2 linked regions of the Cricetulus griseus genome follow. The protein of the gene in region 1 purifies or fractionates together with the protein of each later gene. This does not show direct contact. Links are inferred from orthologs where the notes say so. Each region holds a gene or a part of one and is shown on either strand. Other genes may lie near its edges. The genes, in order: Ncapd3 and Smc4.

What was found.
Region 2: the proteins of Ncapd3 (region 1) and Smc4 purify together in Homo sapiens (co-immunoprecipitation; 3 studies listed by BioGRID and IntAct, with this or other methods). This does not show direct contact. The link is inferred for Cricetulus griseus from reciprocal best matches to the Homo sapiens genes NCAPD3 and SMC4.

What each region holds. Positions count from the first base shown.
Region 1 is NC_048597.1:139,549,672-139,553,496, reverse strand, and holds part of Ncapd3 (condensin-2 complex subunit D3), read right to left. Parts: intron 2,381-3,825; coding exon 2,218-2,380; intron 1-2,217.
Region 2 is NW_023276806.1:84,129,321-84,133,145, forward strand, and holds part of Smc4 (structural maintenance of chromosomes protein 4), read right to left. Parts: intron 3,724-3,825; coding exon 3,532-3,723; intron 2,044-3,531; coding exon 1,867-2,043; intron 1,764-1,866; exon of another isoform or gene 1,686-1,763; intron 1,627-1,685; exon of another isoform or gene 1,532-1,626; intron 1-1,531. UniProt on the Homo sapiens protein: Central component of the condensin complex, a complex required for conversion of interphase chromatin into mitotic-like condense chromosomes.

The sequences.
Region 1 (3,825 bases):
GAGCTTTCAGTAAAAATGTGCCATTTTCAGCTTTAGCTTTAGAACAGACCAATAATGCTGATGAAGCAGGAATAAATAACAAGATTCCCAGATCTGGTTTTGACAGATAAATTCATTTTACACTTGTCTCCCACTAAAAACACTGTAAAATTGGACAAAGACATCTAACATAATCAATATAAAAAGGGGGCAGATAAAACCTGAAATTGCCCTAATTTTGTCTCTGTAGGTCATTTCTGGATCTCAGCAGAGAAGTGGTAAATCCATGCAGATGCTAGCCTTACAAAGTAGAGGAATCAGAGTCAGAAAGGCAAGGCAGCTGGGACCTATGAAGAAGGGCAGCTACATAAAAAAAAGCTACAAGATTCTGTGCAGGCCGAGCATCACTGTGCACGTGTGCAATAAAAACTCCATCATGGTGAGTGAACAACTATTAGAACAAAAAAAAAGAAGAAAAATGATTTTTACACTTCCCATGGGGCTGACACATTTGTGTTCTACACAGCCAGAGTACAAAGACCTTTAAAATACTCAAAGCACTGAGAGGGGAAACATACTTTAACAACAATAGTCATAACAATTAAAAAAAAAAAGAGTATAATACTGACATAAAGTCAGGCATGTAGATCAATAGAACAAAATCAAAGACCACATGAGTACACATAGCTTTAGCCATTTAATATTTGACACAGAGGCCAAGAACATAAATTGGAAAAAAGAAAGTATCTTCAACAATTTGTGCTGGGTAAATTGGATGTTCACATGTAGAAGAATGAAATTAGACCCATATTTATCGCCTTGCATAAAAACTAACTTCAAATGGGTCAAAGATCTAAATCTGAAACCGGAAACATTGTAACTGCTAGAAGAAAACATAGGGATTAATGTTGGTATTACCCTACCTGATAACAGCTATCAGAAAGGACTTTCTGAATAGGACTCCATTTGCCCAAGAAATGAGCCAACAACTGACAAGTAGAACTTTATTTAAAGAACTCAAAATACAAAGAATCCCCCCCAAAAGGGGGATGGGTGGGAGAAAAAGCAACCACTTCAAAAAATAGGACCCGGACCTGAACAGAAAATTCTCAAATGAAAAATAGCTAAGAAATATCCCCCAAAATGTTCATAGTGCCTAACAATTAGAGGAATGCAAATCATAACCACTCTGAGATTTCATCTTACCTCAGTCAGAATGGCAAAGACCATCATCAACAATAAAAACAAAAGCAGGAGCCTATGTAGGCAAAAGGGAACCCTCACTCAATTTTGATGGAACTGCAAACTGGTAGAGCCACTATGGAAATCAGTATGAGGAACTGTCAGCTAGCTGAAAATACATGTACCATATGACCCAGCTATAACCCTTCCTAGCATATGCCTGAAGGACTCAATATCCTACTCCATATTTATTTGCTGAGCTATGTTCATTGCTGTTCTACTCATAATAACTCAGAAATGGAAACAACCTAAATGTTCTTCAAATGATGAATGGATAATGAAAATGTAGTATAGTTACACTGTGGAGTATTATTCAGCAGTAAAGAAAAATGAAATCATGAAATTTGCAGGTTAACTAGAAAAGATCATATTAGTGATAAGCCAAACCCCAAGAAACAAATGTTGCATGTTTTTCTCTTATCAGAAGCTCTTAGCTCCAAATCTTCAGACATGAATTCAGAGCCTGAATTGTCAGAGTGGGGGAATAAGGGAGCTATAGAGAGGGGGAAGAGCAGGACACAGTGATCTGATCAGGGAAATGGGAAAAAGGAGGAGGCTCTAACTAGTGAGGAGAGCAGTAGATAAATACATAAGGAGGATAAAAAATAAAGATATCTGAAAAAGTAACGAGGGATCATACCACCAAATCTGATGATACTAGAAAAGTCAAGTCCCTTACATAAAATTTTGAATAATCAGAAACTTTTGTTTCTCTTTGAAGATGGCTATTTGCATATAAACTACACACATGTTCCTGTGTACTTCAAATCACCTCTAGATATCCAACACAGGGTAAACACTATGAACTGCTCTGCTGTATGGGTTAGGAACTAAGACAAAAACCTGTACATGTTCAATACAGACCCAATCATTACAGGCTTAAGAACATACACAGTATCAACAAATGTAACAGCTTCTTTTCAAGTATTTTTTCCATCCAGTTGGTTGTAAACAGATGTGGAACCTATAAACACAGACAGCCAGACATATACATACCTGGTATTTCTAGTAGCAAAAAATAGAGCCCAGCAGCATGAAGGCCATATTCTCGATTCTGTGCACTGGCACCTTTTTTATGTGCTTCCTGGACAAAGTGGCAGAATAAGGCCACCAGTGTATTAATGGAAATATTATTCTCAACGAAGAAAGTCCAGATGCTCTGGGAGGAGAGTGCAAATCACAAAAGCCAGTAATTAGATGAATTGGAAGAAAGCTCACTGATGCTTACAAGGACCTAGCCTCTCAAGAGAAATAAGGAGTGTAACTACAGTTCAGTGCCTGCTTAACATGCAAAGTCTTGGGTTGGAGCTTTACTAACACAACACACACACACACACACACACACCCATACCCATGTGCATGTACGAGCATATACACAGTCTAACTTCTCATTATAAATGTCTGCCATCTCCAAAGAGAGGGAAACAAAAACTAAGGTGTTCTGGTAGACTCTGAAACACCACCACAGGTCTTTGTGTTACTGTTTGTTCCCCAGCTGCTGATGCCATACTGTGAGGCTGTGGAAGCCTGAGGAGGTAGGGACTGGCTGGCAGAAGTAGGTCACTAGTGGCAGGTTTTGAAGATTACAGCCCAGCTGTGGTTTGTAGCCATCTCTGCTTTACAGTCCATAATGATGAGAGAAGTACTCTAGATTGCTTTTTTGTTGCTTTGTAAATATCATGACCAAAAGCAACCTGTTGGGAGGAGAGTTTATTTTGTTTATACTTCCAGGTCACAATCCATCACTGAAGGAAATCAGGGCTGGAACATGAGTAGAAACTGAAGCAGAAATCTTGGAGGGATGTTGCTCACTAGCTAACTTTCTTCCCTTTGCTCAGCTAGCTTCTTATACAGCCCAGGGCTACCCTACGTAGTTAGGGTACTAGCCTCATGGGGCTGAGCCCTCCCACATAAATTAACAATCATGAAAATACCCCACAGACATGCTCACAGCATTGGTTCCCTCCTGAGTACATTACATGTATGTACAACCACAACAGGCCTTGGGCACCTTTAAAAATAACAAAGACTAACAAAATTCAGGAAACCAGACTATGTGTTTCTGCCTTCCTTCAAAAGATAGGCCAAAAAGCAGGGCACATGGCACATGCCTTTAATCCCGGCACTCTTGAGGCAGAGGCAGGTAGATCTCCCAGTTTGAGGCCAGCCTGGTCTACATAGTGAGTTCAAGCACAGCCAGAGATAATAGTGAGATCCCACCTCAAAAACAAACAAACCACAACCAAAAACAGTAACAAAAAAGACAGGGTAAGGGATAGGCAATGCTACAGAGTACCTATACCGCACAGCACAAACTGCTTCACAGACTAAACTGGGCATGGTGGCATGTTTATAATTTCCGTACTTGGGAGGCTAAAGCAGAAAGACCGAGTTTGAGGCCAGCCTGGAGTGCATAGCAAGACACGGCTGGAGATGAAGAGAAAGGGGGAGGAGAAATCCTTTTGTATGTTGTTGCTTTCCTTGACAGTTACACTCTATGCCAACTGCAGTGGGCACCTCCACTCTGACTGTATTGTCTAGTCACCAGAACTCTGCTTGTTGCATCACCTCAGTAGAATTGATCTCAGGGCTGCTGTCTACTCT
Region 2 (3,825 bases), on another chromosome or scaffold:
ATCTCACAGAAACTACTTCCACTTTCCCTGGAATTTAAAAGGATTCTATGAGTTTTATCTAGCCCAATTTCTCCCTTTTCTTCCTAAAAGGCAAGTTGCTAAAAAGTTCTTATCTAAGTTCAATCAAAAATGTAAAAACTTTAAGAGCACAGAAAGGGTTCAGATAATGAAGACAAATTGAAGGAGCATCTTCAGTGCATCAGAAGCATATGTTTTAATATAAACTTAACACTTTACTATTATTTCTTTGGGAAATTGCTTTATTACCTTTCTTTATTACCGAATTACATATAAATAAACCACACAAAAACATTACAAGACCTAAAATATAGTCTACTTTGCACTGGCACAAGATTGATTATTTCAGTATAAAACTAAGCAAATAGCAAAGAATAAACAAAAAGTGAATATAATTTCCTTCAAAAATGTTACCACCACTTAAATTTAGCATTACAAAGGAACACAACTTTTTAATCTATAGTTTATCAAGCCAAATTCTTGAATATAGAAATCCACAAAACAGTACAATTAATTTAAAAAACAAAACAAAACAAAAACACCCACAATGGCTTAAGACTGAATCTATATAAATTCAAATTTTTACAATCAAATCTTATTTGTAACTGATTTTTTTTTCAAATTTTATTTTTAAGTAACAGTGGTTTATTGAAATATTGTAAATGCACCATTTTTGATAGTTAAGGGGTACTAAAAGTTATTCCAGAAAATTTTACTTGCCTTCTATGTGACATATGCTTAAAATAATAATAAAAAACCCTGAAGAATAGTCTAAAATGTTTGAAAAATTCTAACTTGTTAATGGTAATAGTTACCACAACAAAACATTTTATATCAAATCAAAACTCCTAACTTATTTTAAAATCAGTAGCACATGATAGTGTATTGGCAGTTGCTTCTATATAATATGCAACCTCTCTCTTTAAATTTTATTTATCCTTAGTAACTTGGGATAGAACAAGAGAATAAGACCTTTAAATCAAAACAGGAATTTCACAGTATCTAACAAAGCCATATTTCACTAACCAACCAACCAAAAACAAAACAAAACAAACAAAAAACCCCAACCAACCTCTCCATTCCAAATGACAAAAATCTTCCTTGTACCAAGTTATAATAGCAGGATATACTTTTACACCCATACACGCCCCAAAAGGAAAAACAAAAACAAACCAAAAAACCCCACAGGGTCTAATAAAATATCAAATTAATACCAGACATTAATTTTTATGCTCTTTTAGAAGACTTCTCTGAGAGTCGATACTAATATTACTGGTTTAGCAATTAGGCTACTGTAAATAAAACAAGACCCATCTTGAGTAAACATTTATTATTATTATTACTATTATTAATGTCAAAAGTACTATATTAGGTGATCAGGGGAATTTCCTTTTGTTAAATATCAAGCATATAGTTTTTATGTTAGAAAAAAATGACAAACAAAAAGGGGAGACTATTAAAAGATTTTATTTCAAATGGTAAAGGGAAATACAAACAGAAATGAGAGCTGCTGTATGCCTGTCACACTAAAGCAGCACAATAATATTGGTGTTTAATATTTATTTCACTACGCCAATATTTACGTGCTGCTAGAGCGGAACAAGTATGTCAGATATCCAAACAAAATGAACATGTGATGATAACCATATCATTTAGAATGAATTTCCTTAAATTTCTAGAGCAGCAAATAATGATTCGCATCTTGACTATAGTATGTAAACCATGATGTGCTGCTATAGTACTTTAAGGTTCCAAAATAACAGGATTCAAACAGAAGAACACTCTTTCTAGCTTTATTACAAAACAAAAATTAAAAACCAAGAACTTTGGAAGTGTTTATGAACTTACCTGCAATATTAAAAATCGATTATGGTCCAAGTCAATTCCATGGCTTCTAAGAAGATTTCCAACATCTTTAAATGTCCTCTTCTTCCCACTTATATGATAGACAGAAGTGTTATCTCTGTAGGCTGTTCTAGATACATAGAAGTTACTGTTAGGAATAACTTCATAATCATCCCCTTCCTGTTTTTAGGGAAAAAACAAAACCAGAAAATGGTTGGTATTAAGTTACAGGCAGGTCTGGTCCAGATTTCATTTACTTTTATACTGAAACCAATTCAATAGATTAAATATTTCATAAAATTTTTCTTGTATTTTTCTTGACAAATTCACACACACACACACAAAAATAATTTGTCCTTATCTCCCCTGAATTAAATATATACAAAAATTGACAATTGCTCTAAAATGAGTTTTAAAAAATTGCTTTAGCAGGGATTAGATACTTCTCCAAGTTGTTGGGTTTCTTTCTCAAAGCTCTCTAAAACCAAAAGCCAAATCAAGTAAACAAAACTTTAGCTCTCAACAAGCCAAAAATTGTATTTGAATAAGAGCCAATGAAGGTGGACAAGAGTCCCACCGTCTCTAAAACAACCCCACCCTACTCAACCTAATAACCATGTTGACTGGTTAAAAAGCTATATAGGAAGAGATAATTTAAGGAAAATATTAAGGGGAAACTTTTTTTGGTGGTGGTATTGTGGGGGAGAACAGCTTGTCAGTCAGGTATGTGTGGCACAACACAAGATACCCTTTGCACCCAGCATCCCTATCATCATTAATTGAAAGTAAAACCATAAAAATCTCACAATTATATACCTGATAAAGGGAATCAATTATGAATCTATTTTACCATTAAAGCTCATTCATTTTTAAGGCCCGGTCATATTCAATTTTAGACAACTCAAACTTAACAGGCATTGGATATCTGATTTATTGGCAATCTATTTTCTAACTCAAAAGTACAACAGAATGAATTAAGAAGCAAGATTAAGATAGATGCTTTTGTGAAATTAAATTTCTTTATGTCTAAAAAAAGAGAACAATCCCCCAGCACCTATATTATCTAACCACTTCATTATGTGCATTTCTTTATTCCTTTTTAGGTTCTTTTCAGTTGATTTTTGAATCATTAACTGTCTAAATAGATGAGAAAAAAACACCCACAGAACCATGTAAATAACCTGGTGATTATTTATAATTTTATTTCTAGAAAACAAAAACAGTAGCCTGCCCCCTATCATTTCAAAAAAGAAAAAAAAAAAAAAAAGCATCACGGTAGTTCAAACCTTAGAAAATTTTTTTCATTTCATCTCACACACATACACACTGCTACTAATGACACATTTAATGTATGTTGGAATAATGGGGGTGGCAAAAATCAGTAAATTATTACATTTTAAAGATTAAAACGTTTACTCTAAAGCAATAAAAAGTATAACTTAAAAATGAAGCCAGTATTTACAGTGAATGAATGCTTATTTAGTCCTTGGGATCCCCCAAATCAGTATTTTCTTCCAAAGAGTTGAAGTAAATATGGTCACAGAAGGAATATTTCTTTTGCTTTAATTATACAAAAAGTGTAAGAAATAATTCAGATCTATGAAAACAAAATGTGCCACGATGTTTCTTTTTCTTGCTTGAAGTTGCAAGTAGAAAATAATTTCTTACCTTATCAATTATCTTTTGAAAATGAACTTCTACAGTACAACTCTGGATATCCTTGTGTTCATCAGAATTATGTATCAATACTGACAGCTTTTTAGACCTTATTTTTTGTGCTCGATAGCCAAACACAAAAAGCATGGAATCAATAACATTGGATTTTCCACTGCCATTTGGCCCAATAATACAGGAAAAGCGCTGTGTAAAAATAAATTTTTTAAAAATTTAAATTTACAGTCACACTAATTCTACTAATTTTAAAAAACTAAAGGCATTTAAAAGCTTTCATTATTAGGAAAT